4 linked regions of the Anolis sagrei genome follow. The protein of the gene in region 1 purifies or fractionates together with the protein of each later gene. This does not show direct contact. Links are inferred from orthologs where the notes say so. Each region holds a gene or a part of one and is shown in the gene's direction. Other genes may lie near its edges. The genes, in order: FUS, LARP1, HNRNPU and DDX42.

Region 1 (7,498 bases):
CTAATGTTGGAGAGTGATCCCTGGTCAAAGTGGTCCCTGGTCAAAAAAAGGTTGGGAACCACTGAGTTACAACAACTTAGGGAACTGGGCATGTTTAGCCTGAAGAAGAGAAGGCTGAGAGGAGATATGATAGCCATGTATAAATATGTGAGAGGAAGCCACAGGGAGGAGGGAGCAAGCTTGTTTTCTGCTTCCTTGGAGACTAGGACGCGGAACAATGGCTTCAAACTACAAGAGAGGAGATTCCATCTGAACATTAGGAAGAACTTCCTGACTGTGAGAGCCGTTCAGCAGTGGAACTCTCTGCCCTGGAGTGTGGTGGAGGCTCCTTCTTTGGAAGCTTTTAAGCAGAGGCTGGATGGCCATTTGTCAGGGGTGATTTGAATGCAATATTCCTGCTTCTTGGCAGGGGGTTGGACTGGATGGCCCATGAGGTCTCTTCCAACTCTTTGATTCTATGATTCTATGAACTTAACTTTGATTTTGTTTTAATAGTTCTCAGCCTGTGGGTCCCCAGGTGGTTTGGCCTACAACTCCCAGAAATTCCAGTCAGTTTACCAGCTGTTAGGATTCCCCTTCAGGAGAGATAAAGCTCAAGGGCCAGGCTTCCCAGTTCTCTGTGTCTATGCCACAGTTTTTAAGGTTGGCTTTAAGCCCATCTTTAACTCTCTTTTCCTGTCCACCAACATTCCATTTTCCATTCTTGAGTTGGGAGTATAGTACCTGCTTTGGGCATTCAGACAACATGGCCAGTCCAGCGAAATTGTTGCTGTTGTTGTTGTTATTATTATTTGATACAAACCAAAATTAGTACACAGCAAACAAGATTACTATACTGGCTTTTGTATTAGATCACATGCCGGACACTTCCCAAGTGTCTAGGATTGTGTGATGTATCGGCTAATAATGCATGCAGATGCCAGTAGGGTGGCCTTTTGCAGCTGACAGATGGTAATTTTTATCAGCGCTGATTGTTTTTAAGTGCAGGCCAAGGTCTTTAGCTACTGCACTCAGTATGCTGATCACCCCTGGGATCACCTTTACTGGCTTGTGCCAGAGTCTTTGCAGTTATTTAAATCCTCATATCTAAGCTTTTCCAGTTGCTTCTCATCAATCCTGCTGTCGCCTGGGATGATGATGATTATATCAAAACTCTAGAAGGTGCTTATCCTTGTATGGCATACAGTACAGATTCAAGTGTAAAATCTAGTTTGTGAAATATTAATGCCTCCATTTATTCAGTGGGGGCCAATTACTTCCTTTGAAACACAAGTTCTTTATCCAGAAATCTGAAAGATGCTGCAAAATTGTCCACATGGGTGGCTTCTGTTGATTCAGTGTACACCAGCTTTATATTAAGGCACAAAATTATTAAATTATAAATAGAAAATTATCTTCAGACTATTTATGCAAAGTGTATATTAAACATAAATGAATTTTGATTTTAGTCTTGAGTCCCATCTCCAATATATCTCATGAAATCTATCTATCTAGCTATCTGGGAATGAAAACTGAAATCAAAAATACTTTTGGTCCAAAGCATTTCGTTAGGATTTTACCTGTTAATTTTAATTAATACCATTGATGTTTCTATTTCTGTACCATCAGTCGAGGGGCCCTCCCCCCAGCACCAACTGCTGCTCTGGGGTTAGAGTGAGGAGGGGAGGCCAGGAAGACAGTTCCACCTTATCTCCTGTGCCCTCATTTGGGGGCTCTTCCCCCCAGCAACAATATAGTACTATATATTTAAACTGCTGAGCTGCTGAACTTGATCGAAAGGTCGCAGGTGCAAATCCGGGGAGTGGTGTGAGCTCCTGCTGTTAGCCTCAGCTTCTTGCAACCTAGCAGTTCGAAAACATGCAAATGTGAGTTGATCAATAGGTACTACTCTGGCAGAAAGGTAATGGTGCTCCATGCAGTCATTCCGGCCACATGACCTTGGAGGTGTCTATAGACAACGCCGACTCTTCGGCTTACACATGGAGATGAGCAACAACCCCCAGAGTCGGACACAACTAGACTTAATATCGGGGGGAACCTTTACCTTTACTTTATAATCACCAAGGACTGGGAAGCCCTGGCATTTTGGCACTAGTCAGCTGCAAGGGTGCTATGGATTTTGATGGGGAAGGGAAACAGGGTTTCTTGCAGCCAGGAAATCAGAAGATATTTACTTCTTGGGAGGAGAGCAATGACCAAAATTGATAAAATAATAAAGAGTAGAGACATCACACTGGCAACAAAGATCCACATAGATAATGCAATGGTATTCCCCGTAGTAACCTATGGATGTGAGAGCTGAACCATAAGGAAGACTGAGCAAAAGTAGATGCTTTTGAGCTGTAGTGAGGAAAATTCTAAGAGTGCCTTGGACTGTAAGAAGATCCAACCAGTCCATCCTCCAGGAAACAAAGCCCGACTGCTCATTGGAGGGAAGGATACTAGAGGCAAAGTTGAAGTACTTTGGCCACATCATGAGGAGACAGGAAAGCCTAGAGAAGACAATGATGCTGGGGAAAGTGGAAGGTAAAAGGAAGAGGGGCCGACCAAGGGCAAGATGGATGGATGGCATCTTTGAAGTGACTGGACTGACCTTGAAGGAGCTGGGGGTGGTGACGGCCGACAGGGAGCTCTGGCATGGGCTGGTCCATGAGGTCACAAAGAGTCGGAAATGACTGAACGAATGAACAACAATAATAAAATACAATAATATTACTTATATATTATATATTACGTGTAACATTACTAATGATATTACAGTATAGTGGCATAGTACAATATAGTAATATATAATGCCAATATTGTGCTAGGCTAATAATATAAGACACTAGCTGTCCCCTGCCACGCGTTGCTGTGGCCCAGTCTGGTGATCTGGATATGAAGTAATGAGAATGTGTTGGTTTCTAATATATGTAATGTCTTTATGCTTGAGGGTAAACAGTATTTCTCGTTGTTTCTTTGCCAGTGTTGATGTGGAGATTGTCTGGTTTGCCTACTCTGGAACATGTAACATATCATTGTCCTTCTTTAGGGGTCCCTTTCAAATCTTTGATACTGCATCTGTCATATACATATATGTGTGTGTGTGAATGGCTGGATGGCCCTTTGTCAGGAGGCTTTGTTTTGTTGCCCTGGTGAAGGGAGCTGGGCTGGATGACCTTAAGGCAGCATTTCTCAACCTGGGAAGTCAATACACCCGGGGGGGGGGGGGGTCACCAGGGGGGTGTCAGAAGGGTCCCCAAAGACCACCAGGAAACACAGTATTTCCTGTCGGTCATGGGGGTTTTGTGTGGGATGTTTGGCCCAATTCCATCGTTGGTGAGGTTTGAAATGCTCCTTGATTGTAGGTGAACTATAAATCCCAGTAACTACAACTCCCAAATGTCAAGGTTTATTTCCCCCAAACTCCATCTGTGTTTATATTTGGGCATATTGAGTATTCATGCCAAATTTGGTCCAGATCCATCATTGTTTGAGTCCACAGTGCCTTGTGGATATAGGTGAACTACAACTCCCAAACTCAAGGTCAATGCTCTCCAAACCCTTCCAGTATTTTCTGTTGGTCATGGGAGTTCTGTGGTTCAATTCTATCGTTGGTGGAGTTCAGAATGCTCTTTGATTGTAGCTGAGCTATAAATCCCAGCAACTACAACTCCCAAATGACAAAATCGTAATTTTTGATTGATGGTCACTCCTTGTGTAGTGAGACATTTTGTTGCCAAATTTGGTGTGATTTCGCTCATTGGTTCTTTTCTTTTTATGGTACGCATTATGCACAGAGCATTTATATAGATAGATAGATAGATAGATAGATAGATAGTATGTACATATAAGCGCTCTGAATCCTCTTCGGGGTGAGAGGGGGCAGGGGATAAATATAGTAAATAAATAAATATTTTAATGTTTGTATATTTTTGGATTTTAATTGGTGCTGAGATTCTTTTCATAGAATCATTGAGCTGGAAGAGACCTCGTGGGCCATTTAGACCAACCCCCCTGCTAAGAAGCAGGAAAAGAATGTAGTGTAAACGGGCTGCAAATAACAACAACAATATAGGAGTCGTTAAATATATTATAATCCACTGGAGAAAATGTCTTGTTTGTCTTCAGAAGCAATTTCCCATTTATTTATTTATTTTGCTTCTTCCTTTTCTGACCCCCTTCTTTGCCAATTTGGTTGCTTCCAGTCTTCCTCTGTGAGCTCACCCTAACCTCCGTTCTATATGGACTGTACCATTTCAGTGCGGTAGGGGGGGGGTTGGAATCCCATTCTGTTGGAAACCAGTCCCGTGAATTAACCTCGCCTGTTAATTATTTAAATCAATGATTGATATTAGCTTGGGATTCTTTGGGAGGAGATGGCGGCGAGTTGTTCAGTTTAGTGGGGAGAGGAAACGATGTCTATTCTCGGCTCTCCCCCCACAAACTAACATGGTTCGGCCTAAAGGCTGAATGGGAGGGGGAAGTATATAAAGGAAAGAGCGGGCTGGGAAAGCGCTCGGAGGCAAGGAGACGGGAAGGAAGGTTGCTTTTGGCCGCTTTGGGGGGAGACTTGGAGGGGTCTACAGCAATGGCGTCTAACGGTGAGGAAGAGGATACAAAAGGGTGTAATATATTGAATTTTGTAGCGGGTGCAATGCTTGAATCCAGAGTGGAGCCATTGAATCAGCGAGTTTGACTCACCAGGAGGAATTAAGATTCAATGGTTGTATTCTTGGTTCTGATAAACTAAAACTAAAGATTGCAATGGGGTTGGAATAGGATTTTCAAAGGGATTGGGTCTCCTAGGATGTGTTTTCCCTTTCTCTGGGGGTTACACGATTCCTTTACATGCATAGATCTTTATTGCGAAATAGATTGGGTATTGTATTGTCGAAGGCTTTCATGGCTGGAATCAATAGGTTCTTGTGGGTTTTTTCGGGCTATATGGTCATGTTCTAGAGGCATTTTCTCCTGACGTTTCGCCTGCATCTATGGCAAGCATCCTCAGAGGTAGTGAGGTCTGATAGAACTAGGACAATGGGTTTATATATCTGTGGGAAGACCAGGGTGAGGCAAAGAACTCTTGTCTGCTGGAGCTAGGTGTGACTGTTTCAACTGACCACCTTCATTAGCATTTGAAGGCCTGGCTGAGCCTGGGAGAATCTTTTGTTGAGAGGTGAAACATTCACACCTAGCTCCAGCAGAGAAGAGCTCTTGGCCCCACCCCAGTCACCCCACCCTCTGGCCATATAGCCCGAAAAAACGCACAAGAACAGATTGGGTATTATTACAACGGAGGCCATTTTGTACCCCATTTGAATAGGGTGACTTCCATTTTACGGAGCGAAAGGCCCCTTAAATAGCGGTTTCATATGGAAATAGTATTATGGTTGGGTTTATATACTAAGGGGTAATATTCGGAGGCCATGCCGGTCGCTTTTGGCTGTCTAGAAGGAAGAGATCTTGAACTGCGCCATTATTCGCCGCCATTTTGTGCCAGCGTGAGAACTAGGCCACGAGGAGGGGCAGTTCCGCTCTGGAAGGAGCGCGAGGGAGGGCTGGGCTTTTATAGGGAGGGGAAGGAGACGGGGCTCCCCATGGCAACGACACACGGGCAGTGTTCGGCAGCTGCGCATGCGCGAGTGAACACGCTGAGGGGGAGGAATAGACAATGGAAAAGTACTCGAGGTGTGTGCCGGCGTTTCAGATGCTTAGTTAGGAGAGGAAGGAGCGGCGCGCGCATGCGCTGGGGAAAGAAAAGCTTGCGCATGCGTATACAAGGCTGTTTGTCGCAGTGTTACATCCGGGCCCTTGCCCTTCCCCATTCCTTTGGAACGTTGTCCACCCCGTTGAGTCATTCTCTTCACCGCCCACGAGCTCAACTGTCATTTTTTTTGCCCTCTTCGCGGGATCCGCGCATGCGCAGGAAGCCCCTTTGACTTCTCATTTAAAGCGCTGATGGTTCTGATTCCAGCTCTTCTATTCTTTGTTACCTCAGCAGCCTCTACTTGTGTGGGGGCGACTTCTCATACACACAGACACATATATATAAATAACTCTGGAGGCCCATGGGTGGGTTTGCTTCTTTTTACAGCATTTCCTGATCCATAATGTGTCTAGATCTAGGGAAGTCATGCTACCCATGCTCTATTCTGCTTTGGTTAGACCACACCTGGAATATTGTGTCAAATTCTGGGCACCACAATTCAAGAGAGATATTGACAAGCTGGAATGTGTCCAGAGGAGAGCGACTAAAATGATAAAGGGTCTGGAGAACAAGCCCTATGAGGAGCGGCTTAAGGAGCTGGGCATGTTTATCCTGAAGAAGAGAAGGCTGAGAGGGGATATGATAGCAATATATAAATATGTGAGAGGAAGCCACAGGGAGGAGGGAGCAAGCTTGTTTTCTGCTGGCCTGGAGGCTAGGACGCGGAACAATGGCTTCAAACTACAAGAGAGGAGATTCCATCTGAACATGAGGAAGAACTTCCTGACTGTGAGAGCCGTTCAGCAGTGGAACTCTCTGCCCCAGAGTGTGGTGGAGGCTCCTTCTTTGAAAGCTTTTAAACAGAGGCTGGATGGCCATCTGTCAGGGGTGATTTGAATGCAATATTCCTACTTCTTGGCAGGGGGTTGGACTGGATGGCCCATGAGGTCTCTTCCAACTCTTTGATTCTATGATTCTATAATACAATGTAATTTTTTCTCCTCCCCAATGAAGGCGTTCATAGAGCAGCCATGGCCAAACTTAGGCCCTCCATGTGTTTTGGACTTCAACTCCCACCATTCCTAACAGCCTCAAGCCCTTTCCTTTTACCCCCTCAGATGAGGCTGTTAGGAATGATGGGAGTTGAAGTCCAAAACATCTGGAGGGCCCAAGTTTGGCCATGACTGTTCTAGAAAAAGCTATAGTTGTGACTCAAGGGGAAAGATGTTGATTTTGTCTTCCTGCACAAAGGCAGTGTATCTGTTTTGTAGAAATTGGATTAGGATAATTATTTATTATTTACTTCATTTATATACCGCTTTTCTCAGCCCTCAGGCGACTCAAAGCGGTTAACAACAGCAAAATTCAATGCAAAAACATCACAAAACAAATATGGGACAGTTAAAACAGTAGCATCATCAACGATAAAACATCAATATAACAATCATTAGTATCTCATCAGTAAAATCCGAATCCAATCTCATCATCCATTATTCCATATTCCTATATTCAATTATACTGCTTAATCAAATGCCTGCTCGAACATGCCTCAGGCCTCTGTGAATTTTCCTGTCCTCCATTTGTGTGTGCGCTTGTTTATGTTTGTTTATTCTATTTTGGTAGAATGTTGTGACTTGTCCCCGAGACACACAGAACAAATAATGTGGTGGAACAAGAGGGACTTGTGTAGCTTCTCTTCCTAGCTGTCTGGCCTCATTTACACTGCTATATAATGCAGTTTAATTGTGTTGAGCTGCATGATGTGAGTCTACGCTACCCATATAATGCAATTTCAAGCTGCATTATGTA
Region 2 (7,534 bases), on another chromosome or scaffold:
CTCCACATATAAGTGTGTGTCTCTCTCACATTCAATTATGTGAGAAATGCCATGCGTGCTGATATGTTATGCTCTTGGCATAGTTTTACTATAAAGTGAGAATGAGGTCTTGGTGGCTCTGATCACAAGCTATTATAAAGGCATTATAGGTTGAGTAAGTATCCTTTATCAGGAAAACTGAAATTCTCCAAAATCTAAAATTATCTCCATGGGTGGCTGAGATAGTGACCTCTTTACATTCTGGCAGTTCAATGTGCACAACATTTGTTTCATGCACAAAATTATGTGCCTTCGTCTGTAAGTCGCCCTGAGTCCCCCTTGGGGTGAGAAGGGCGGGGTAAAAGTAATTGAAATAAATAAATAAATAAATGTATAAAATTACCTTCAAACTATGTGAATAAATGTAAAATTTAAAAAAAAATCAAGCTGAAACCATGGATCCAGAGGGTTGCCTCTATCTTAATTCAAGAGGAAACAATTGCTTCTCAAGTTATGAATAAAATGGAATGCTGGATGTGTGTTTTCTTCACTTTACCAAAAGGCATATGGAACTGGCCATTCTACACTCATAGCACTTATAATACATATGAAATGGCAGCCACAGAGAATGGCAGTTTTTTAAAACAACATTCTGGGAAGTGCTTACTCCTCCTTCAAAATTTCCAGCAAAGAAGGCTCTACTATAATATGTGTCTTATGGTCACACTATAGATTACTCTTGAATCCTATGGAATTAAGAAAACAGAAACTGTTTCTGAGGCCCCTTCCACAGAGCTCTATATACTAGGATCTGATCCCAGTTTAACTGTTTATCCCAGATTATGTGGCAGTGGAGACTCATACTGTATAATCCAGTTCAAAGCAGATAACCTGGGTTAAATCCTGGGATATAAGGACAGCGTAGATACAAGGGCCAGGCTTAGTACAGCAGGCTAAACTGCTGTGCTGCAGAAAAATCAGAATGTTGGGGTTGAGCACCCGCCATTAGCCCCAGCTCACCTGCATACCTAGCAGGTCGAAAGCAGAAATGTAATCAGATAAAATAGGTACCGCTTTTAGCAGGGAGGCAATTAAGGCACCCTTAAGGACATTGATTGGAGGAAATCTCCTTGGCATGGATGATGGAAAGACAGCATCCTCCTCCCCATGGCTGGAGTCCAAAATGCCAGAAATAAGATGAGTAAAATGGGCTTTACCTCTGTTTGTGCTGACTGTCCTTGTTAATTGTATAATCAGCATTGAATGTTTGCCATATGTGTGTTCTGTAAGCCACTCTGAGTCCCCTTCGGGATGAGAAGGGTGGGTATAAATACAATAAATAAATAAATAAATGTAGAAAGGGCCTGAGGCTATATAAAATCCAAATTCTACACACTGTATAAAATCCAGATTATCTGCTTTGGACTGGGTTATATGGCAGTGAAGACTCAGATAATCCAGTTCAAAGCAGATAATGTGGATTATCTGATTTGATAATGATTATATGGCAGTGTAGAAGGGGCTTACGGTGTAATTTAAAAAAAGGGGGGGGGGAAATAGTACGTATGTCAGGTGTTATTGGAGGCTGGGCACTCACTGAGTTGCAAGTTACCTGTTGTTGTTTTTTTTGCATATTAGAAAAAAATGCTTAAGAATTGCCATTGTCTTGCTTTATATGTTTCTTTTCAGGTTTTTACTAACAAAAACGGGGTCCTGTCATTTATGAGACATCCCATGTGTTTGCTTGTTCATATAAGTAACAAAAATGCCAAGTCATGCTCAGGCCTTGTTTATGGTGATCAGTGATGCCTACAAAAGTTTACTTGTTAAGTGTTATCATAACTCATTATGGACACAAGAGGTGAAACGGTCACATAAAGAATCCTTTCATACTACACATAGTCATACTGCCAATTACACTTTAACCACCATAGTTCCTTCTTATGAAATCCTGGGATTTGCAATTTAGGGAAGACTATTTTGACCTCTCAGCTGGAGAGCTCTAGTATGGCTGATCTGAAATGGGTTTAAACAATTGATTTTAGAGATAACTGATTTTAGTGTTTGTGTATATTGTGTATATTTATAGTTTATTTTGTTTCGGCATTGAATGTTTGCCGTATATATGTTGTGCTGCACCCTGAGTCCCCCTTGGGGTGAGAAGGGCGAAATATAAATCCTATATATAGTGCCTCTGTCAAGACTACTAATGCAAACCTTCCTTCATTTTTGTATAAGAATAAATACATCTACATTTGGGGTGCCACTTTTTATGTTGCATCCCTCTCTTGGCAGGGGTGTGTCTGGAAGAATAATGTAAATTTCTTGCTCATCGTGATACATTTCTGTGTATTCTTCCTGATATTGTTTCAGACGCTAGCTTTGCCATGAAAAAAATGCACACAATTTTACCACATCAGACACAAGGTAATATGAAAAGAAATCTCTTAATTAAAAAGTTTCTGATTAAAAAAATAAACGTGTTGCATACAGCTATGCTGGATCTATCCTCAGGGCTGTTTGACCTGAAATGTCTGTTGTTTGAAACTGACACATACGTCCATATTGCTGTGTATACAAGAGTTCAGAAACCACTGCTGATTTCTAGTCAGTGGTGTCTTGAATTAGCCGGTTTCTCTCCTTTCTCCTCTCTCCTCCCCCCTGCACTGCTTGACATTTACAGTGTAAGTTCCTTGGAAGCAGTCTTTGCGAAAGGCCATGTAACTTGAATAGGCAGCGAGGCAGTCCAATAGCTAGGCCTGGGATGGCCCATATTCAAATCCCCAGTCAGGAGGGATGGCTGTATGTATGGGTGAAACGTAGGGGAGAAGCATGTGGGTCTCATCACACTTGAGCATTTTCCCACTTCAAATGGTGTGACTGCCTCCTGCAAAATGCTGGGGTTTGTAGTTTAGGAGGCAGTCACAGCATTTAAAGTGGATTGACGTGTGATGAGGTTCTCTCAGAAAAAAAATATACCACACATATAAATAAGATAGGTTGAGGAAACTACAGGATGTCCCTAATGCACTTTATGAGAGAATTAGAATTGTCTGCACACCCTTTTATTTCCAAAATATTCATTCTACCTCACCTGGACATGCCCAGCATTTTTAGAATTTTAACCATTACATTTGGCCCTGCCACAGGTTTTTAATATTGTCGTGTTTTTTGTTAATGTTCTGCTTTGTTATGAGTTATTTATTTTTGCATTGTATTGTTCTTGTTGTTTTTACTAATGATGTACTTTGGGCTCGGCCTCTTGTAAGCCGCATCGAGTCCTGCCTGCGGGAGATGGTAGGGTTTATTGTTATTATTATTATTATGTGCACATCTGTACTTTAGAATTTTTATGTTAATGCTATTGGCATCTTGGGAGCTGTAGTTTTACGAGGTCTCTAACCTTCTCTGCCAAAAGGTATCTCACCAAAGGGGAGGGAAAACTTTGGATTCAAATGGAGGCAACTCTCTTTGGTCAAAAGACTCGGTATAAACATTCTTTTGCTGTCAAGACAACACAAAACTAGAGGAGCCTAGAGCTGAAAGAAGAGTAGGCCCTGCCTCCTTCCCACAGGCCGAGGCCTACCCGCTGAGAGACGAACAGTAGACTGAGCCCACTGCAGCTTAGGCTACCCACATCTTTTCCTCACTTGGTCCTTTAGTTTTGTGAGATGCTTGGCCTTGTCCGCCACAATAAACTATAACTCCCGGGGCTCCCATACCATCGAGTCCTGGCAGTTAAAGCGGTGTCAAACTGCGCTAATTCCGCCGTGGTTGCTCCACGTTCCCTTCGCAGGCTGGTACTCGAGAGAGAGAGAGAGAGAACGAGCGAGCACCAACCCGGCCCTGCGACCCTGAGCACATGTTTCTGCCTGGAGCGGGGTGGGCTCCTTCCAAGGAAACAGGCCCCACGCGATCGATCGGGTAGTGGTGGCTTCAGGCCGACCTTGTCCGTGTTTTTGTTTGATTTGGAAGTCAAATAGAACTCTCCAGCTCCGCAGGGGGAGGCCTTTTTCCCCCCTTTTGGGCTTTGTTCTGTTGGTTCTCTTATCAGAGTCAGTAGGCCCTCCGTGGAGGTGAAAGCCAGCACTTCGCTCCAGAAGGCCCTTTGGCAGCGATGAAGTTTGAAGGCAAGGCTCCGCCTCCTCCACCACCACCACCTTTCTCTCTTCCCGAGCGGCGACGCTGCCCCTTTAAGGAGCGTCTCCCTATGACACCCAGCACGCGCCGGCCCCGCCGGGGCTCGGGCTCGCGCCGCCTCTCCTGGGCGCGCTCGTCATGCGAAAGGGAAAGAGCGTGAGCGTGCGTGTGTGCGCGCGCCTGCCTGCGTGAAGGCGTCTGTGCGTGTGCGTGTGTTGTATGCGCGCGCGCTCCCTCCTTCCCCGGGCCTGGATAACGCGGGCGGAGCTGGCTGCGCGCGCGCGCTCGCTCTGGCCGGGCCAGTCGCGTGGTCTCCTTGCTTCTCCATATTGCTGCTGCTGCGGCGGCGGGGGCATTGGCATTAGAGGAGAACCGGGGGAGCGGGAGGGGAGGGGGGCGGCGAGGCGGGGGTTGGGCTTCAAAGGGAGGGGGGCGTGAGAGCAGGAAGCCGGCGTCTTGGGGCTCCCGCTGCGCCCTTTCACCGAGAGAGGGTTGGAAAGAAAGCTCTCGGGCGAGGCGGGCTTGCAAAGGAGGGAGGAGGGGGAAGCAAGCAAGCAAGGAAAGGAAGAAGTGAGGAAGGGGGAGCGGGCCGGCTCCGGGGCGCAGATGGCGACCCAGGTGGAGCCCCTCCCGCCGCCCAGCCCTCTGCTGCCTTCCGAGGAGCACGGCGGCGGGGGCGGCGGCCTCGTCCTCAAGAAGTCCCCGGGAGAGAAGGGAGAGCAGCGCCTCGCGCCCCGCGGAGAGAAGGAGGCCGACGGCGGTGGCGGCGAGGAGGAGGAGGGCGGCGGCAAGGAGGGCGGCGGGCCCGACAGCTGCTGCAGCAGCAAGGAAGGCGAGCCGCATCCGCGCCGGAACGGGGCCCTCCTGAAGCCGCCCAGCATCAAGCAGCAGAAGGAGGAGAGCAACAACCAGGAGAAGGAGAACCTCCTGCAGCAGCGGAGCAGCAGCGAGACCACCACCAGCAGCAGCAACAGCAGCTCCAGCGGCGAGGAGGGCGGCGTCGGGCGCAAGGAGTTCATCGAGGCCCCGCCGCCCAAGGTGAACCCCTGGACCAAGAACGCCCCCGCCGCGCTCGTCGCCCTCAACGGGCAGTCGCCTCCAGGTGGGTCCACACGGGGGCGATTGGGGGAAGACAGCCAAATAAGAGCCTCCCTGGCCTCCTCCTGCAAGATGGTGACATTCCCTCGCCCGTCAAACTCCACCCCGCCTTTGTCCGGCGGCGCCCACCCTGCCCTCCTCTTCTTCCTCCCCCTCCGCGACCCTTATGGAAATCTTTTGATAGAGTATCAGAAGTGGGAGCCAAAGGGGAGGAGATGGGGCCATGCGGGCTTGGCGTGATTCAGACATCTTGGAGGGAGGGGGGAGGGAGAGAGAATGGGGCGGGTTCGCAGCCCGAACAGCGCCCCCTTCCTCCTCCTCCTCCCCCTTTCCTCGTGTTTGGGAGCCCTTCCTCCTCCTCTTCCTCCTCCCAGATTCGCCATTAGAGGTTAAGCTGTCCCACCACGTTTTAACGAGCGCGTGGGGATTCCCCTTCCTGCTCCCTTCCCTTTTATTCCCCACGCTGCTTCCTTTCCTTAAATATAGGTAGAGCCCTCGTTAAATGGCGTTGGGGCGGAGACTAAGAAGAAGAGGGGGAGGGGAGGCACCACGACAGCGGAGGGAAGGGGCTTGCAATTCGTTTCCAATCCATTTTGTGTGTGTGTGTGGTGTATTTTGCGCTTTTTGGAGACACGATGAGTGTATTTTGCGCTTTGGGGCGAGAGCGGGCGGGTCTGCGCGCGAGGGCCATGTGCCTTGGCGACTTCCTCCTGCGGCTTTAAGTAAAGGGAGGGAGGGGGCGTCGGCAGTTCTCCCTCCTTCCCTCTCTCTTCCCCCCTCCCTCCCTCCCTTGGTTCCTTTCCTCCCTCCGCAGCGCTCGAGGCGTCCGCGTGCAGGCGGCGGTTTGAGCGTTCCGTCGCCTCCTTCCTAACGCTCCTCCGCCCAGTGGGGCGCCCCCCCCTCTGTCCCTGTGCGCGCGCCTGTGCGTTCTGAGCGTCCTTCTCCTCCCCCCTCCCCCTTTCCCTTCCTTCCTTCCTCCCTTTTCTTCCCTTTCCCGGCATTCCTCTGCAGTAAAGGCAACGTGGTTTTCTTTCGGAGCGAGCATGTGACGAACACTCTCATATAGCCGGGGCCTGGCTTGTTCTTTGGACCTGGTAGCCGCTTCTCTCTCTGCTCTCCCCCCCCCCCCACAGTCCCAAATCCTGGGGGGGGGGGAGAGTTTCCCCACCCCCCTTTAGGGCCCCTTCGACTCTGAGGGCGGAGGTGGCAGGGAAGCCTACGTCAAGGGCGGGAGGAGGAGGAGGGGAGGTTGGTTGGAACGGCTAGGCCTCTCAGTTGGGCGAGTGTCTCAGCTAACGCTTTCCGCGTGGGCTGCCGACTTCTAACTGTAACGTATTGCCGTTCGTTTTGCGGGGAGGGCGGTTTTCCCGCAGCGGGGCCGCGCGCCCTGCCCCCCCCCCCACCTTCCCACCCTTCCTGTCTTGGGGGGAAGGGAAAGGAGGTGAATGCAGGACAAAGGTCTTCCAAACGTCCACGTGGGCTTAGCCCTATGTAGGTTAACTCAACAGGGCTTTTCCATTTTGTTTCTATTGAGTCAGTATTTAACACTGAAAGTCGTTTTTATTTACCTAGGGCCTGAATCAAATCCCACATTATCGACTTTGAACTGGAATATATGGCAGTGTGGGCTCAGACTGAATAGCAGAATCAAATCCCACATTATCTACATTGAACTGGAATATATGGCAGTGTGGGCTCAGACTGAATATCAGAATAAAATCCCACATTTTCTACTTTGAACTGGAATATATGGCAGTGTGGGCTCAGATTGAATAGCAGAATAAAATCCCACATTATCTACTTTGAACTGGAATATATACATATGGCAGTGTGGGCTCAGATTGTAGTGATCCTTCAAGATAACCCAGTTCAAAGCAGATTTTCTGTCTTGATACTCTGAGTGTGTGGAAAGGCCCTAGTTTGTTATACTCTGCCCTCCCTATCCACGGATCCAATGACCCACAGGTTGAAAAATACTACCCCTTGCTTTGCCCATTTTGTATAAGGGACATCATTTTTCTAACCGCTTCATCATCCATGTATCAACCGGAGTCATGGAGCCATACCCCAGAGCACACCACTGTAATTGGAGTTCAGTGGGAGGGCAGTGCCATTTTGTGAGTAGGGTTGATAAGCTGTGTGAGGCTTATGCTCACTTCAGTGTGAATGTAACAGCAGTCACCTGCTCACCATTTCGCATAAATAAAATCAGGACTTGAGGACATGCTAGTGCAGGCATGGGTGTTTTGGACTTCAGCTCCCACAATTCCTAACAGCTGGGAGTTGTGGGAGTTGAAATCCCAAAACACCCAGAGGG
Region 3 (6,997 bases), on another chromosome or scaffold:
ACCTTTGTGATAGGAGATATTTTGTATATTATTTCCAGAACAGAAAGCAAGCATTTATTTATCGTGTCAGAAGCAAATTGAGAATACAGTTATAATGTATAAAAAACACAAATTTAAAACTTGGCATTATGCTAGATTTCCTTTGACTAGAAGCTGACCACTTGGAATGTCTCGCATGTGGCTGTAAGGAGGTCCTCCATTGTGCATGTGGCAGGGCTCATACTGCATTGTAGAAGGTAGTCTGTGGTTTGCTCTTTTCCACACTTGCATTTCATGGACTCCTCTTTGTAGCCCCATTCCTTAAGGTTGGGTCTGCATCTCGTGGTGCCAGAGCACAATCTGTTCAGTGCCTTCCCAGTCACCCAGTCTTCTCTGTGCCCAGGAGGGAGTTTCTCATCTGGTATCAGCCACTGCTTGAGGTGCTGCATTTTAACCTGCCACTTCTGGACTCTCGCTTGCTGAGGTTTTCCTGCAAGTATCTGTAGATCTTAGGAAGCTGTTTCTTGATTTAAGACGTTGGCTTGCTGGCTGATATCCAAACAGGTGATGGGCTGGAGATGTCAATGCCTTGGTACTTTAACTGCTGGCTGCTAGTTCCTGGTGGATATCAGGTGGTGCAATACCGGCTAAACAATATAATTTCTCCAACAGTGTTGGGCATACATGTCCTGTGATAATGTGGCATGTCTCATTAAGAGCCACATCCACTGTTTTAACAGGGTGAGATGTATTCCATACTGGGCATGCGAACTCAGCAGTAGAGTAGCAAAGCGCAAGGGCAGATGTCTTAACTGTATCTGGTTGTGATCCCCAGGTTATGCCAGTCAGATTTCATATGATATTGTTTCTAGCACCCACTTTTTGCTTGATAGTCAAGCAGTGCTTTTTCTAAGTCAGAGCACAGTCCAGACTAACTTCCAGGTATTTGGGTGTGCTGCAGTGCTCCAGTGGGATTCATTCCCAGGTAATCCTGAGCTCGAGATGCTTGTCAGTTCTTAAGATGAAAAGCACATGTCTGTGTTTTAGGTGGAGTAGGAATCAGCTGGGTTTCTTTGTAATAGGCAGTAAGAGTGCCTAAAGCTTTGGGAAGCTTTAGGCACTCTTACTGCCTATTAAAGCTTGAGTGGTGATAGCACAATTGTCAGTATAGATGAAATTCTGTCCCTACTGGCAATAAGCAAGTAAGCCTCTGTATATTAATGGCTGAAGAACACAAGTTCCCACAATCATTTTAAATCTAGTTGCCTATTGTGGGAAGAGAATAAAGGATTGGGTGTACTTGGGCTGTTTATGTGACCTAGTACATCAGCATGATTTTTCTTGCAGAATGCAAGTGAATACTGGATTGTTGTGTCCAGGCTAAATGGGGCTTTATATGTGCGTGTGTGTACACACACCATGAGAAATTACGGTTCTATGACACCACATTCACTTGCAGAAAATAGCGAAGACTTTTAGAAAATACTGATGAAAATGAAAGAAGTTCAAAAGCAACGTGACAATTGAATACTATGAAGACGCAGATTATTCTCCACACCTTTGCTCAATCATTAATCAAAATGAGGAATGCTGCCAATAAACCAGAAGACTTGGAAGTGTGGCCGTGAAGGAACTTGATAAGACCCTCAAGCCTAAAGATGTATTATTAAACATCAAAGTCAGAATAATCCAGATCAAAATGGTTCTTAAGCCTGATAGGAAGAAAATCAACACATTTGAAATTTGAAGAAGAGTCCTGAGAGCTGGCATAGAGTTGCTGTTCTTAACTGCCGTCAGTCAATTTTGACTTTGACCTCAAGTCCCTCTATTGCCAGCCTCCTTTTTAAAATCTTGCTGACTCAGGACTGTGGCTTCCTTTAGTAAGAACCTATCTGGAATACTGTCCGCTTTTTCCTATTGCCTTCTAACTTAACAAGCATTATTGTCTTTTTTAGTGAGCCATGCCTTTTCATGATATGACCAAAATGGTTTCCGTTTATTCATCGAGCGAGAGTTCAGGCTTGATTTCTTCTATGGGTCATTGATTTGTCTTTTTAGCAATCCATGGTGTCCACAGAATTTTTCTTCTGCACTTTTAAAACGGAATGATATTCTTCCTATCAGTTTACCCACTGTTCAGCGCCCTTCATTCTTCAGTTTTCACAACTGTACATAGAAGTGGGGAATACAATCCCATGGTCAGTCCTAAGATACAATGATCTATTTTACACATCAGAAGTTCCTTCATAGCTGTCTTCTTCTGATTTCTTGACTGCAGGCGCCATCCTGAATATCGACCGAGCCAAAGTATGGAGAATCTTTATTTCAATGTCTTTGCTTATTTCTAAGTTATATAGTTGTCATTATTTTTAGTTTGCTCCATGTTCAACTGTAAATTTGCCTTTGCACTTTTGTCCTTGATTTTCTGCAATATTCATTCCAAGTTCTTGCTATTTTTTGCTGGTAGTACGGTATAATCTGTCTATTTTAATTTTTTGATGTCCCCTCCCTAAAGAAATTAGATTGGCCCCCACTCGAGTTCAAAAACATGGCTTTTCAGACAGGCCTTTGACCCTGTATAATCTATGATCAGCTCGAGGATCGAGTCACTCTGCACTTTGATTTGTTACGGCAAATAGCCAGCTTTATTTGCAGATTCTACTGTGGTTTAGAAAATTTTATAATCTTTTACAATTTTTATAATCTTATCAGTTGGGTTTTTATGTGCATTGTTGCTTTAATATTTATCTCACTTTATATACTACCTATGTACTGTTGTTTATAAGCACTTGGGGTGTTTCTGTGAGCCGCTCCGAGTGGTGGTGAGAAGATTTAGACCAGGGGTCCTCAAATTAAGGCCCGAGGGCCAAATACGACCCTCCAAGACTGTTTACCCGGCCCTCGCTCAGGGTCAACCACGTCTGAAATGCCTTGAAAGCATGCAACAACAACAATCCTATCTGATCGGCCAAAAGCAGCCCCACACTTCCCATTGAAATACTAATATATTTCTATTTGTTAAAATTGTTCATTTTAATTATTGTATTGTTTTAAAGTTTTTTTTGCACTACAAATAAGATGTGTGCCGTGTGCATAGGAATTCTTTTTTTTTTTTCAAATTATAATCCGGCCCTCCAACAGTTTAAGGGAATGTGACCTGGCCCCCTGTTTAAAGAGTCTGAGGACCCCTGGTTTAGACCACTTGGCATGGAATGACCCCTTTGGCAGAAAAGATCTTGTAAAACTACAGCTCCCACAAAGCCAAAGCATTGAGCCCTGGCATTTACGTGGTGCCAAACTGCATTAATTCTACAGTGTAAATGCACCCCTTGTTAAGGGGTTTCTGTTGTGTCCAATTCTGGGCACCACAATTCAAGAGAGATGTTGACAAGCTGGAATGTGTCCAGAGGAGGGCAATTAAAATGATAAAGGGTCTGGAGAACAAGCCCTATGAGGAGCGGCTTAAAGAGCTGGGTATGTTTAGCCTGAAGAAGAGAAGGCTGAGAGGAGATATGATAGCTATGTATAAAAATATGTGAAGAGGGAGCGAACTTGTTTTCTGCTTCCTTGGAGAATAGGACGCGGAACAATGGCTTCAAACTACAAGAGAGGAGATTCCATCTGAACATGAGGAAGAACTTCCTGACTGTGAGAGACGTTCAGCAGTGGAACTCTCTGCCCCGGAATGTGGTGGAAGCTCCTTCTTTGGAAGCTTTTAAACAGAGGCTGGGTGGCCATCTGTCAGGGGTGATTTGAATGCAATGTTCCTGCTTCTTGGCAGGGGGTTGGACTGGATGGCCCATGAGGTCTCTTCCAACTCTTTGATTCTATGATAAGGCCTGAAGGCTTTGGCTGCGCACTTACGGTAATGCTGCGCCAGGGCCTGCACTTACGGTAGCGGCGCGGGTGGGAGGGAGGGAGAGAGAGAGGAGGGGGAGAGAGGGAGAGCGGGAGCGCGAAGGGGCGTGGCTAGGCCATATAAGGCGCGGGGCGGGGGCGGGGCAGCGTGGCGTTGCGTGCTCGACCCCGCGAGGCGCGTCCCCGGCCCCTGCCTCGCGAGCCTTGCTGAAAGGATTTGGCGCCAGGCGGGTCTTTCCTTCCTTCCTTGCTTGCTTCCTTCCTTCTCCGCAGCCCCCGAGGAAGGTGATCCGGGCCAGCCGCCGACGTCCAGGCCGCACTCCGCTAGAGCCCCCGCCGCCCACGGAGAGGCCCTCGCCGCTATCGCCATGAGCAGCTCGCCGGTGAACGTGAAGAAGCTGAAGGTGTCGGAGCTCCGCGAGGAGCTGAAGAAGCGGCGCCTCTCCGACAAAGGCCTCAAGGCCGACCTGATGGAGCGGCTCCAGACGGCGCTGGACCGCGAGGAGGCCGGCGGCGGAGGCCTGGCCGAGCCGGGCAACGGCAACGCCGAGGAGGAGGAGGGCGGCGCGGCGGGCGGCGCCTCGGAGCAACTCCTGGCCCCGGCAGCAGGCGGCGGGCCCGGCCAGGCCGCGGCCTACGACGACGAGGAGGAGGAGGCCGAGTTCGGCGGCTGCGCGGAGGAGGAGGACGACGAGGAGGAGGGCATGGAGGTGGGCGAGGAGAACGGCGAGCGGGCCGCCGCCCGGGAGGAGGACTTGGAGGAGGAGGACGAGGACGAGAACGGCGACGACCAGGGCTTCCAGGAGGGCGAGGACGAGGAGGACGAGGCCGCCTCAGCCGCCGCGCCGGCCGGCAGCGGGACCGGGGGCGGCAATGCCAACGGCCACGGGGCCAAGGAGGCTCCCGGCGCCAAGGCAGCCGCGCCCGAGGCCTCCGCGGCTCCGGCGCCTTCGGCCCAGACCGGCGCCAAGCAGGCCTCGTCCGGGGCTCAGTCGCAATCGCAGCCGGCGGCGGCGCCTCAGCAGCAGCAGCAGGCCCAACAGCCCAAGCCCGGAGGGGCCGCGCCGCGTCCTGCGGGTGAGTCGTGCGTGGGGCCCGGATGGGCGTCGGCGGTTGGCGCCTCGGAGCGGGGTCAGGGCGAGGCGCCATCTTGGTTTTCCCCCCCTTTCCCTCCTGTTTCTGTGAAGAAGAGAAAGGGGGGGAAATCTAGGCCTCGCGCGCCAAGAGGCGCCTGTAATGGTGGTGGTGGGATGGGGGAGGGGCTTCCGCCATTTCGCGCGCGCAGGGTGGGGGGGAAGGAGAGAGAGCGCAGCGCGCAGGAGCCGCTGGGGCGCGCTGTGGAGCCCTGCGAGGAGGGAGCGCTTTCTGCCGCTTGCGTCACTTCCGCCCGTGAGGCGCTGCGGGCTCTGGTTCAAACCTTGAGCACAAAAGGAGGCGGGGGAGTCCAGGGAGAGGCAGCGCCTGCCGGAAGCCCCCGCTAGAGGGCGCCCTGACGCCACGCGGGATTTGATTTTCTGTCTTGTCGAAGGCTTTCATGACCGGAATCCCTAAGGTTTTTGGGTAGTATGGCCATGTTCCAGAAGCATTCTCTTCTGGCGTTTCGCCTTAATCTATGGTCTCACAGCCATGCCTGCCATAGATGCAGGCGAAATGTCAGGAGAGAATGCTTCTGGAACATGGCCATACATCCGGAAAACTTGGAGCAACTCATTTTGTCTGTTGTTTGCGTGACTTAATTGTATGGCTTCCAACGTTCCCTTTTTTCCCCCTCCCGCAAAAAGATAATAAAGAAGCCAAATCTGAGCAAAAATCCGGAGAGAAAAAAAGGGGAGTGAAAAGGCCACGTGAAGACCATGGACGAGGTTACTTTGAGTATATTGAGGAGAATAAATACAGCAGGTAAATATAGTAATACACAATTCTTGATATACATATATCCATATATTTTTTTATATATTCATATACATACATATATTTTAATTGTGTGTGTGTATATATATACACATACATACATTATATATATAAAATATGTATTTTTAGTTCATATATAATATCTATTTTTCATTTTTAAAATCCCTATTGATGGATTGTATTCAAGCGATTTCTTTTATTGGTTAGGGCCAAATCTCCGCAGCCACCAGTTGAAGAAGAGGATGAACACTTCGATGACACAGTGGTTTGTCTTGATACTTGTAAGTACAAAAGAAGTGTTCTTGTCTCTTCAAATACATTTTTCAGGATGACAACTGTAATGTATTCAACAGTTGCTTTTATATATTTGTATATATGGATAATATGATCATAGCAGGCATAATTTCAGCTGTAGTTCATATACTTAATATTTTCGGATGTTAGCCTGCTTTTAGTCACATTAGAGCAGGCAGGGGAAAACTTTGGCCCTCCTGGACTTCAACTCCCACAATTCCTAACGACCTCAGGCCCTTTTCCCCCTCAGCTGCTTAAGCTTGAGTGGCTGAAGGGGAAAAGGAAAGGGCCCGAGGCTGTTAGGAATTGTGGGAGTTGAAGTCCAAAACACCAGGTGGGCCAAAGTTTTCCCCTGCCTGCATTAGTCTGTTCATACTAGTGTAAAAGTCATACTAGGTCTAAAAGGCAAAGCATGAAATGAAGAATGTATATTGTCAAACCAGATTTCCATTCTGTACTTTTCCAAAAGAGCTGTTGAAAAAATAAGTTGCCTGAAAACAGCAGATTTTATCTTGTCTTTTCTGGTGTTACGTGCTGGTAGGATTCCATCTGTAATGCAAATATCTTAAATTCTGAGCTTTGCACATTTTTAAAAAACTAGAATTCTGTCAAGTATGTGGAAAAAATGGCAGGTGTGGAGTTACTCTATAGAACAGGGGTTTGAAGTCTTGACCCTGGAAACCCATTGGGTAACCTTGAGCAAGTTGTATACTCTAGAAGCCCCAGAAGGTGGCAAAGGCAAACTCGCTTCAATAGAGTATTTACCAGAAAAGCCCAGTGATGCATTCATTTTCATTAGGATTTCCACAAGTCATTAATGACTTGAAAGCACAGAATGATTTTAAGAAACAAAAGCATGATACCATATTGTTTTATCAAGAGGCCTAAATCCAAAGTTAGAAATAGGAAGTTTCATTACTGGGCAATTCAGAATAGAAAATTCCAGTACTTCGCA
Region 4 (7,584 bases), about 15 Mb from region 1:
ATTCTTACTTACTAAAATCTCATACTACAGTAAGATATACATCTTTTTCAGGAATACCTCCGTTTCATTATTTATATGGTTATTTATTTTGCTATTCTTGAAATCTCAAAGTGCAATAAAGGAGATTAAAATATAAATAATTATAAAAATGTGATGGTGATAATGATATTTATTTTACCCCACTTTCCTCTTTTAAATTAGGCTTGAAGCTTTTTAAGGCTCACAACCTTAAAAACAATACAGCTATGGCCCTTTTTACACTGCTGTACAAAATCCAGATTACCTGCTTTGGCAGTATAGACTCCTGTAATCCAGTTCAAAGCAGATAATGTAGATTGTCTATTGTGTGATTTTTGGCCTTGATGGCCCTTCCACACAGTCATATAACCCAGAATATCAAGGCAGATAATCCATAATATCCACTTAACTGAGTTATCTAAGTCCACACTGCCATATAATCCAGTTAATGTGGGATTTTATACAGCTGTGTAGAAGGGACTTCATATAATACATTTCAAAGCAAATGTGGATTATCTGCTTTGATAATCTGGATTATATGACAGTGTAGAAGGGGCCTTAGAACCCACAACGTATCATCTATGGTTGGATTATATGAGTCTACATTGCCATATAATCCAGTTCAAAACAGATGATCTGAATTTTATATGACAGAATAGATCCAGCCACAGGGTGTAAACATAAACTGAAAAGCCTGATTTGCATTGATAGCTAGACATAGCTATCAGATAGCCTTTCGGACTACTGACAGCTATTTGTCTTATCAGTCCTACCCAATAGTTATTAGTGGCACAGATTCAAATTTCAATTAACCTCTGATCTATATGTGTGTGTCAAAGTATGTATGTATGTCAGTTTATGCTACAAAGGCTCTTACTTGGTTTGATGGATCTGGGCCAAATTTGGCACACACACTTTTCATGGTCCAATTTAAAATAATTGAGGGGTTTGAACCTTATAAAGTCAAGAACATAGGGAAAGAAAAGGAATGAAGGGGATTAGCTGCTGCCCCTGGTGGAGCCCCTGGTGGCGCAGTGGGTTAAACCCCTGTGCCGGCAGGACTGAAGACCGACAGGTTGCAGGTTCGAATCCGGGGAGAGGCGGATGAGCTCCCTCTATCAGCTCCAGCTCCTCATGCGGGGACATGAGAGAAGCCTCCCACAAGGATGATAGAAAACATCAAATCATCCGGACATCCACTGGGCAACGTCCTTGCAGACGGCCAATTCTCTCATACCAGAAGCGACTACCAGAAGCGGCTTGCAGTTTCTCAAGTTACTCCTTACACGATAAAAAAAAAGCTGCTGCAATGTGAAGTGGCCCTTTGTCACATGACTGAAGAAGAACAGGAGTGAAGCAGACTGGCTGCTGCTTGGTGATACGAATAAAAAAAAGTAACGATCTACACTGCCATATAATCAAGAATATTTACTTTGAACTGGTTTATATGGCAGGTTAGATGTATATAGAGAAGACAATTATGCTGGGGAAAGTGGAAGGCAAAAGGAAGAGGGGCCGACCAAGGGCAAGATGGATGGATGGCATCCTTGAAGTGACTGGACTGACCTTGAGGGAGCTGGGGGTGGTAACGGCCGACAGGGAGCTCTGGCGTGGGCTGGTCCATGAGGTCACGAAGAGTCAGATATGACTGAACGAATGAACAACAACAACAAGATGTATATAATCCACTTCAAAGGAGTTAATGTGGATTATCTGCTTGGATAATCTGGATTATATGACAGTGTAGAAGGAGACTAACTCTGGAGGCCTGGGTTTGAATCCCTGCTTTGCCATTGAAACCCACTGGCTGACAAGTCATGCTCTTTCAACCTCAGAGGAAGGCAAATCTCATTTGGACAAATCTTCCAAGCAAACTTTGTACTATGACCTCTTCCACTCAGCCATATAACCCAGAATTTCAAGGCAGACAATCCACAATATCTGCTTTGAACTGGGGCCCTTTCCACACAGCTGTATAACATCCACATTGAATTGGATAACATGGCAGTGTGGATTCTGATAACCCAGTTTAAAGCAGATATTGTGGATTATCTACCTTGATATTCTGGGTTATATGGCTGGATGGAAGAACCCTAGATTAGGACTTTAGGATTGCTACAATTGGGGAATAATTTGGGGCCCTTCCACATAGCCATATAATCCAGAATATCAAGTCAAATAATCGACAATATCTGTTTTGAACTGGATCATCTGTGGCCCCTTCCACACAGTCAAATAAAATCCCATATTATCTGCTTTGAACTGGAAGATATGGCAGTGTAGACTCAGGGCCTGTCCACACAGCCCTGTATTCCAGAATATCAAGGCAGAAAATCCCACAATATCTGCTTTGAACTGGGTTATCTGAATCCATATTGCCATATAGGCCAGGGTGGTCCATGCCTTAAGTCACCTCTAGACTGGATTACTGTAATGCACTCTACGTGGGGCTGCCCTTGATGGTCCAACGGGCGGCAGCCAGGTTGTTAACCGGGGCTCCTTACAAGGAGCGGTCAACCCTCCTGTTTAAGGAGCTCCACTGGCTGCCATTCATTTTCCGGACCCAATTCAAGGTGCAGGTTCTCACCTGCAAAGCCCTGAACGGTTTGGGACCCGTCTACCTGCGTGACCACATTTCTGTATACGAACCCACACGATCTCTTCGATCACCTGGAGAGGCCCTGCTCACGCTCCCACCTGCATCGCAAGCGTGAGAGGGCCTTTTCGGTGGTGGCCCCTTGACCCTGGAACTCACTTCCTAAGGACATCAGGCATGCCCCAACTCGGCAGTCTTTAGGAGGAGCTTGAAGACGTGGTTGTTCCAGTGTGCTTTCCCAGAATAATGATCCCATAGCACTTTGTCCTCCAAACGCCCCATCACTTTTTCACCCATGTCCAGCATTATTTTTAAATTTTAATTACATTTGGCCTACCCATAGATTTTAAAGTGTGTGGGCCTATTGTTAATGCTTATATTATTGTTTTATTGTTTTGTTTGATTTTAATTGCTTCCATTGTTGTTGTTATTGCTTGTATTGTTGTATTCTGGGCTCGGCCTCATGTAAGCCGCACCGAGTCCCCTGGGGAGATGGTAAGGTAAAGGTAGCCCCCTGACATTAAGTCCAGTCATGTCTGACTCTCCATTTCTAAGCCGAAGAGCCAGCGTTGTCGTAGACACCTCCAAGTTCGTGTGGCTGGCATGACTACATGGAGCGCCGTTACCTTCCCGTCGGAGCGGTACCTATTGATCTACTCACATTTGCATGTTTTCGAACTGCTAGGTTGGCAGAAGCTAGGGCTGACAGCGGAAGCTCACGCCGCTCCCCGGAATCGAACCTGTGACCTTTCGATCAACAAGCTCAGCAGCTCAGTGCTTTAACCCACTGCGCCACCGGGGGCCCCAATGGGGAGATGGTAGCGGGATATAAATAAAAGTTTATTATTATTATTATTATTATTATTATATATTCCATTTCAAAGCAGATGTGGGATTTTATTTAACTGTGTGGAAGGGGGTCAGATAACCCAGTTCAAAGCATATATTGTGGGATTTTCTGCCTTGATATTCTGAGATGTAGGGCTGTGTGTAAGGGCCCTGAATCCACATTGCCATATTATTTATTTATTTACTTTACTTGTATACCGCAGTTTCTCAGCCCAACAGGCGACTCAACGCGGTTTACAACAAGGATAAACAAGGTTTATAACAAGGATAAAATCAATCAACGATATACAATTTAAAACCATAAGAGCATAGTATACAATATTGACACAACAATAAACAAACACAATACATCTTATAACTAGAGTCGTGATCCAATTCGTCGTCCAAATTTCCATTCCTGTAATCATCACATTCATTGCACTGTTTATCTGAATGCCTGTTCAAACATCCAAGTTTTTAATCTTCTTCGGAACACCATTAGTGAGGGGGCTGATCTAACCTCCATAGGGAGGGCGTTCCACAGCCGAGGGGCCACCACAGAAAAGGCCCTGTCTCTCGTCCCCGCCAGCCGCACCTGTGAAGCAGGCGGGATAGAGAGCAGGGCCTCCCCAGAAGATCTTAGGGTCCTGGCGGGCTGATAGGCAGAGATACGTTCGGATAGGTAACTTGGGCCAGAACCGTTTAGGGCTTTATAGGCCAGCGCCTGCACTTTGAATTGAGCCCGGTAGCAAATCGGGAGCCAGTGGAGCTGGTGCAGCAGAGGAGTTGTGTGCTCCCTGCGCTCTGCTCCTGTTACTATCATGGCTGCCGAGCGTTGGACTAGTTAGAGCTTCCGAGCCGTCTTCAAAGGCAACCCCACGTATATAATCCAGCTCAATGTGGATTTTTTAGAGCTGTGTGGAAGAGGCTTTGAAGGAACAAAATAATAAAATGAAATACGGAAAGCCCTAATTAACCAGAGCTCTACACAAGCCTCCTCCTGCTTAAAAGAGCCCATAAGGAAATAAAGGCACGTGTGACTCTTTCTTCTGACTCTACGGTGCTGCGCCTACTTATAACGTAAGCAGCCGCCACTGTCGATGGCGTCACCACGGAGGAGGACAGCGCGAGCGAGCCGTTGCGCGGTGACGTCATCGCGTCACGGTGGCCAACGTCGCGCCCCGTTTCTTCCCTCGTAGTAAAAGAGTGGAGTTCTGAGGGACGGCGGGAGAAAGGGCGGAAAAAGGAAGTGTCACACAAGGTGGTGGGTAAGAAGCGGGGAAATAAACACTGGGGGAAAGGAAGTAAAGGCGCAGGAAGCGCTGCCAGGCCTTGTGGGGTCGCTGGGGAAGAAGGAAGGGGAAGGGGGCGGGGCTGCGGCCTAGCGGAGCCACAGAAGCCTTTGGAGCTGATCCCGTTCTGTTTGTCTCCCCTCCGCCAGGCGACCTGGTCTCTCGCCTCCAGAGGAATCCGCCGGACTCTTGCCAAAGGTGACCAAGTAGGCGTGAAGCTTGAGCAGGTATTGACACTGAGGCGACGGGGGAAAGCGGCTTCCTCCAGAGGTCCTGATCCAAGCGGCCTCAGGGTGCATCTCCATGACAGAATTAATGCACTCAGTTCTTGTGGGTTTTTTTCGTGCTATATGGCCATGTTCTAGAGGCATTTCTCCTGACGTTTCGCCTGCATCTATGGCAAGCATCCTCAGAGGTAGTGAGGTCTGCTGGAACTAGGAAAAAGGGTTTATATATCTGTGGAATGACCAGGGTGAGACAAAGGGCTTTTGTAAGTTGGGCTAGGTGTTAATCTTTCAACTGACCACCTTGATTAGCATACAATGGGCTGACTGTGCCTGGAGCAAACTAGTTCCAGTAGACCTCACTACCTCTGAGGATGCTTGCCATAGATGCAGGCGAAACGTCAGGAGAAATGCCTCTAGAACATGGCCATATAGCCCGAAAAAACCCACAAGAACTGAGTGATTCCAGCCATGAAAGCCTTCGACAATACATAGAATTAATGCAGTTTGACATGACTTGGAACTGCTATTGGAACTGTACGCTTTGTAAGCCTTCGCTGTCTAAGAATGCGGTTGTCTCACCAAATCACAACTCCCAGGATCCTCAAGCATTGTGCACTGGCAGTTATGGTGATGTGAAACTGCATTAATTATATAGCGTAAATCTGGCAAACTCCCCCCCCCCCCAGGTGTTTTGGACTTCAAATCCCACAATTCCTAACAACCTATGGCTGTTAGGAAGTGTGGGGGTTAAAGTCCAAAACACAAGGAGGGACCAAATTTGTCCATGCCTGGTGTAGATGCACCCTCAGACTTACCTTCATTCATGACTGCTCACCCTACACTTTTAGTATTTTGTCTGGGTTTTTTTTTGCTTTGTTCTGTTAGAAATGTAATATAATCAACTGGTTGCACTGACACTATAAATAAATAAATAAATAAATAACCCTACACTGAAAAGTGACTGTTATTCCAGTTTCATAGGTCATTGGGTAAATGAGAGAGCAAAGTATGCCTTTAATCATTTAGAATAGTGTTTCTCAATTTATTTATTTATTTCGAGCGCTTATACCCCACCCTTCTCAATCCCCTAGGGGGGACTCAGGGCGGCTTACAAAAGGCACAATTCGATGCCTAACAGTTCACAAAATAAAATATAACAACAACAACTATAACTAGTTAAAACAATCCAATTAATACAATAGCAGCAATAAAATCATCTTGTGGTCAATGTTCGCCAATTCATAAATCCATAGTCCATCCAGCATTATCCTTTCCTACTCTGGTTGTCATTGTCCTTTATCCATCTGCCAGCTTACCCAAAGGCCTGGTCCCATATCCAGGTTTTTAACTTCCTTCTGAAAGAGAGGAAAGAGAGGAGGGATGCTGATGACCTAATTTCCCCGGGGAGTGAATTCCACAGGCGAGGGGCCACCACCGAGAAGGCCCTGTCCCTCGTCCCCACCAGCCTCTCAAACTCAGCTCCTCCAAATATTTTGGACTTCAGCTCCCGCAATTCCTAACAGCTGAACCCGACCCTCCTGACAATGAGCCATCTAGCCATAGATGTAGATAGATATATATGATTCACACACACACACACAGATATTTATTTATTTATTTATTTATTTATTTAGTACACTTGTATACCGCTAATATCTCAGCCTGTGCGGCGACTCATTGCGGTTTACAACATATTTAAAAATACAATATTCACTTTAAAAATATAAAATAAAATATAAAAATACATACATATACATACATAGTATTGGGCCACCAATACAGACCGGAACATCTCATAGTTAAAGTCGTAATCCAATTCGTTATCCTTGATTGCTAGTCCATGATCAAAACATCATCACATCGGAATTAGTTGAAAACTTGCTCGAACATCCAAGTTTTCAGTTTTTTCCGAAATGCCATTAGCGAGGTGGCTGATCTTATTTCAGTAGGGAGGGCATTCCAAAGCCGGGGGGCCACCACAGAAAAGGCCCTATCTCTCGTTCCCGCAAGCCGCACTTGTGAAGCAGGCGGGATGGAGAGAAGGGCTTCTCCTGAAGATCTTAGGGTCCTGGTGGGCTGATAGGCCGAGATACGTTCGGATAGGTATGTAGGGCCAGAACCATTTAGGGCTTTAAAGGTCAAAGCCAGCACTTTGAATTGGGCTCGGTAGCTAATCGGTAGCCAGTGGAGCTGGTACAGCAGAGGAGTTGTATGCTCCCTGCGCCCTGCTCCTGTTAATACCATGGCTGCCGCCCGTTGGACTAATTGGAGCTTCCGGGCCGTCTTCAAAGGCAACCCCACGTAGAGAGCGTTGCAGTAGTCAAGGCGGGATGTAACCAGAGCGTGGACTACCGTGGCCAAGTCAGACTTCCCAAGGTACGGTCGCAGTTGGCGCACGAGTCTTAACTGTGCGAATGCTCCCCTGGTCACCGCCGAAACCTGGGGATCCAGGCTCAGCGATGAGTCCAGGATCACACCCAAACTGCGAACCTGTGTCTTCAGGGGGAGTGCGACCCCGTCTAACACAGGCTGTAACCCTATACCCTGTTCGGCCCTGCGACTGACCAGGAGTACCTCTGTCTTGTCTGGATTCAATTTCAATTTGTTCGCCCCCATCCAGACC

The links.
Region 2: the proteins of FUS (region 1) and LARP1 purify together in Homo sapiens (affinity purification with mass spectrometry; 3 studies listed by BioGRID and IntAct, with this or other methods). This does not show direct contact. The link is inferred for Anolis sagrei from reciprocal best matches to the Homo sapiens genes FUS and LARP1.
Region 3: the proteins of FUS (region 1) and HNRNPU purify together in Homo sapiens (affinity purification with mass spectrometry; 7 studies listed by BioGRID and IntAct, with this or other methods). This does not show direct contact. The link is inferred for Anolis sagrei from reciprocal best matches to the Homo sapiens genes FUS and HNRNPU.
Region 4: the proteins of FUS (region 1) and DDX42 purify together in Homo sapiens (affinity purification with mass spectrometry; 3 studies listed by BioGRID and IntAct, with this or other methods). This does not show direct contact. The link is inferred for Anolis sagrei from reciprocal best matches to the Homo sapiens genes FUS and DDX42.

The regions. Positions count from the first base shown.
Region 1 is NC_090026.1:14,970,333-14,977,830, forward strand, and holds the start of FUS (RNA-binding protein FUS), read left to right. Parts: upstream 1-4,478; 5' UTR 4,479-4,570; coding exon 4,571-4,583; intron 4,584-7,498. UniProt on the Homo sapiens protein: DNA/RNA-binding protein that plays a role in various cellular processes such as transcription regulation, RNA splicing, RNA transport, DNA repair and damage response. Binds to ssRNA containing the consensus sequence 5'-AGGUAA-3'.
Region 2 is NC_090022.1:81,925,994-81,933,527, reverse strand, and holds the start of LARP1 (la-related protein 1), read left to right. Parts: upstream 1-4,534; 5' UTR 4,535-4,725; coding exon 4,726-5,221; intron 5,222-7,534. UniProt on the Homo sapiens protein: RNA-binding protein that regulates the translation of specific target mRNA species downstream of the mTORC1 complex, in function of growth signals and nutrient availability.
Region 3 is NC_090021.1:54,921,073-54,928,069, forward strand, and holds the start of HNRNPU (heterogeneous nuclear ribonucleoprotein U), read left to right. Parts: upstream 1-3,988; 5' UTR 3,989-4,205; coding exon 4,206-4,914; intron 4,915-5,618; coding exon 5,619-5,736; intron 5,737-5,955; coding exon 5,956-6,029; intron 6,030-6,997. UniProt on the Homo sapiens protein: DNA- and RNA-binding protein involved in several cellular processes such as nuclear chromatin organization, telomere-length regulation, transcription, mRNA alternative splicing and stability, Xist-mediated transcriptional silencing and mitotic cell progression.
Region 4 is NC_090026.1:29,726,695-29,734,278, reverse strand, and holds the start of DDX42 (ATP-dependent RNA helicase DDX42), read left to right. Parts: upstream 1-4,569; 5' UTR 4,570-4,706; exon of another isoform or gene 4,707-4,710; intron 4,711-4,883; 5' UTR 4,884-4,961; intron 4,962-7,584. UniProt on the Homo sapiens protein: ATP-dependent RNA helicase that binds to partially double-stranded RNAs (dsRNAs) in order to unwind RNA secondary structures. Unwinding is promoted in the presence of single-strand binding proteins.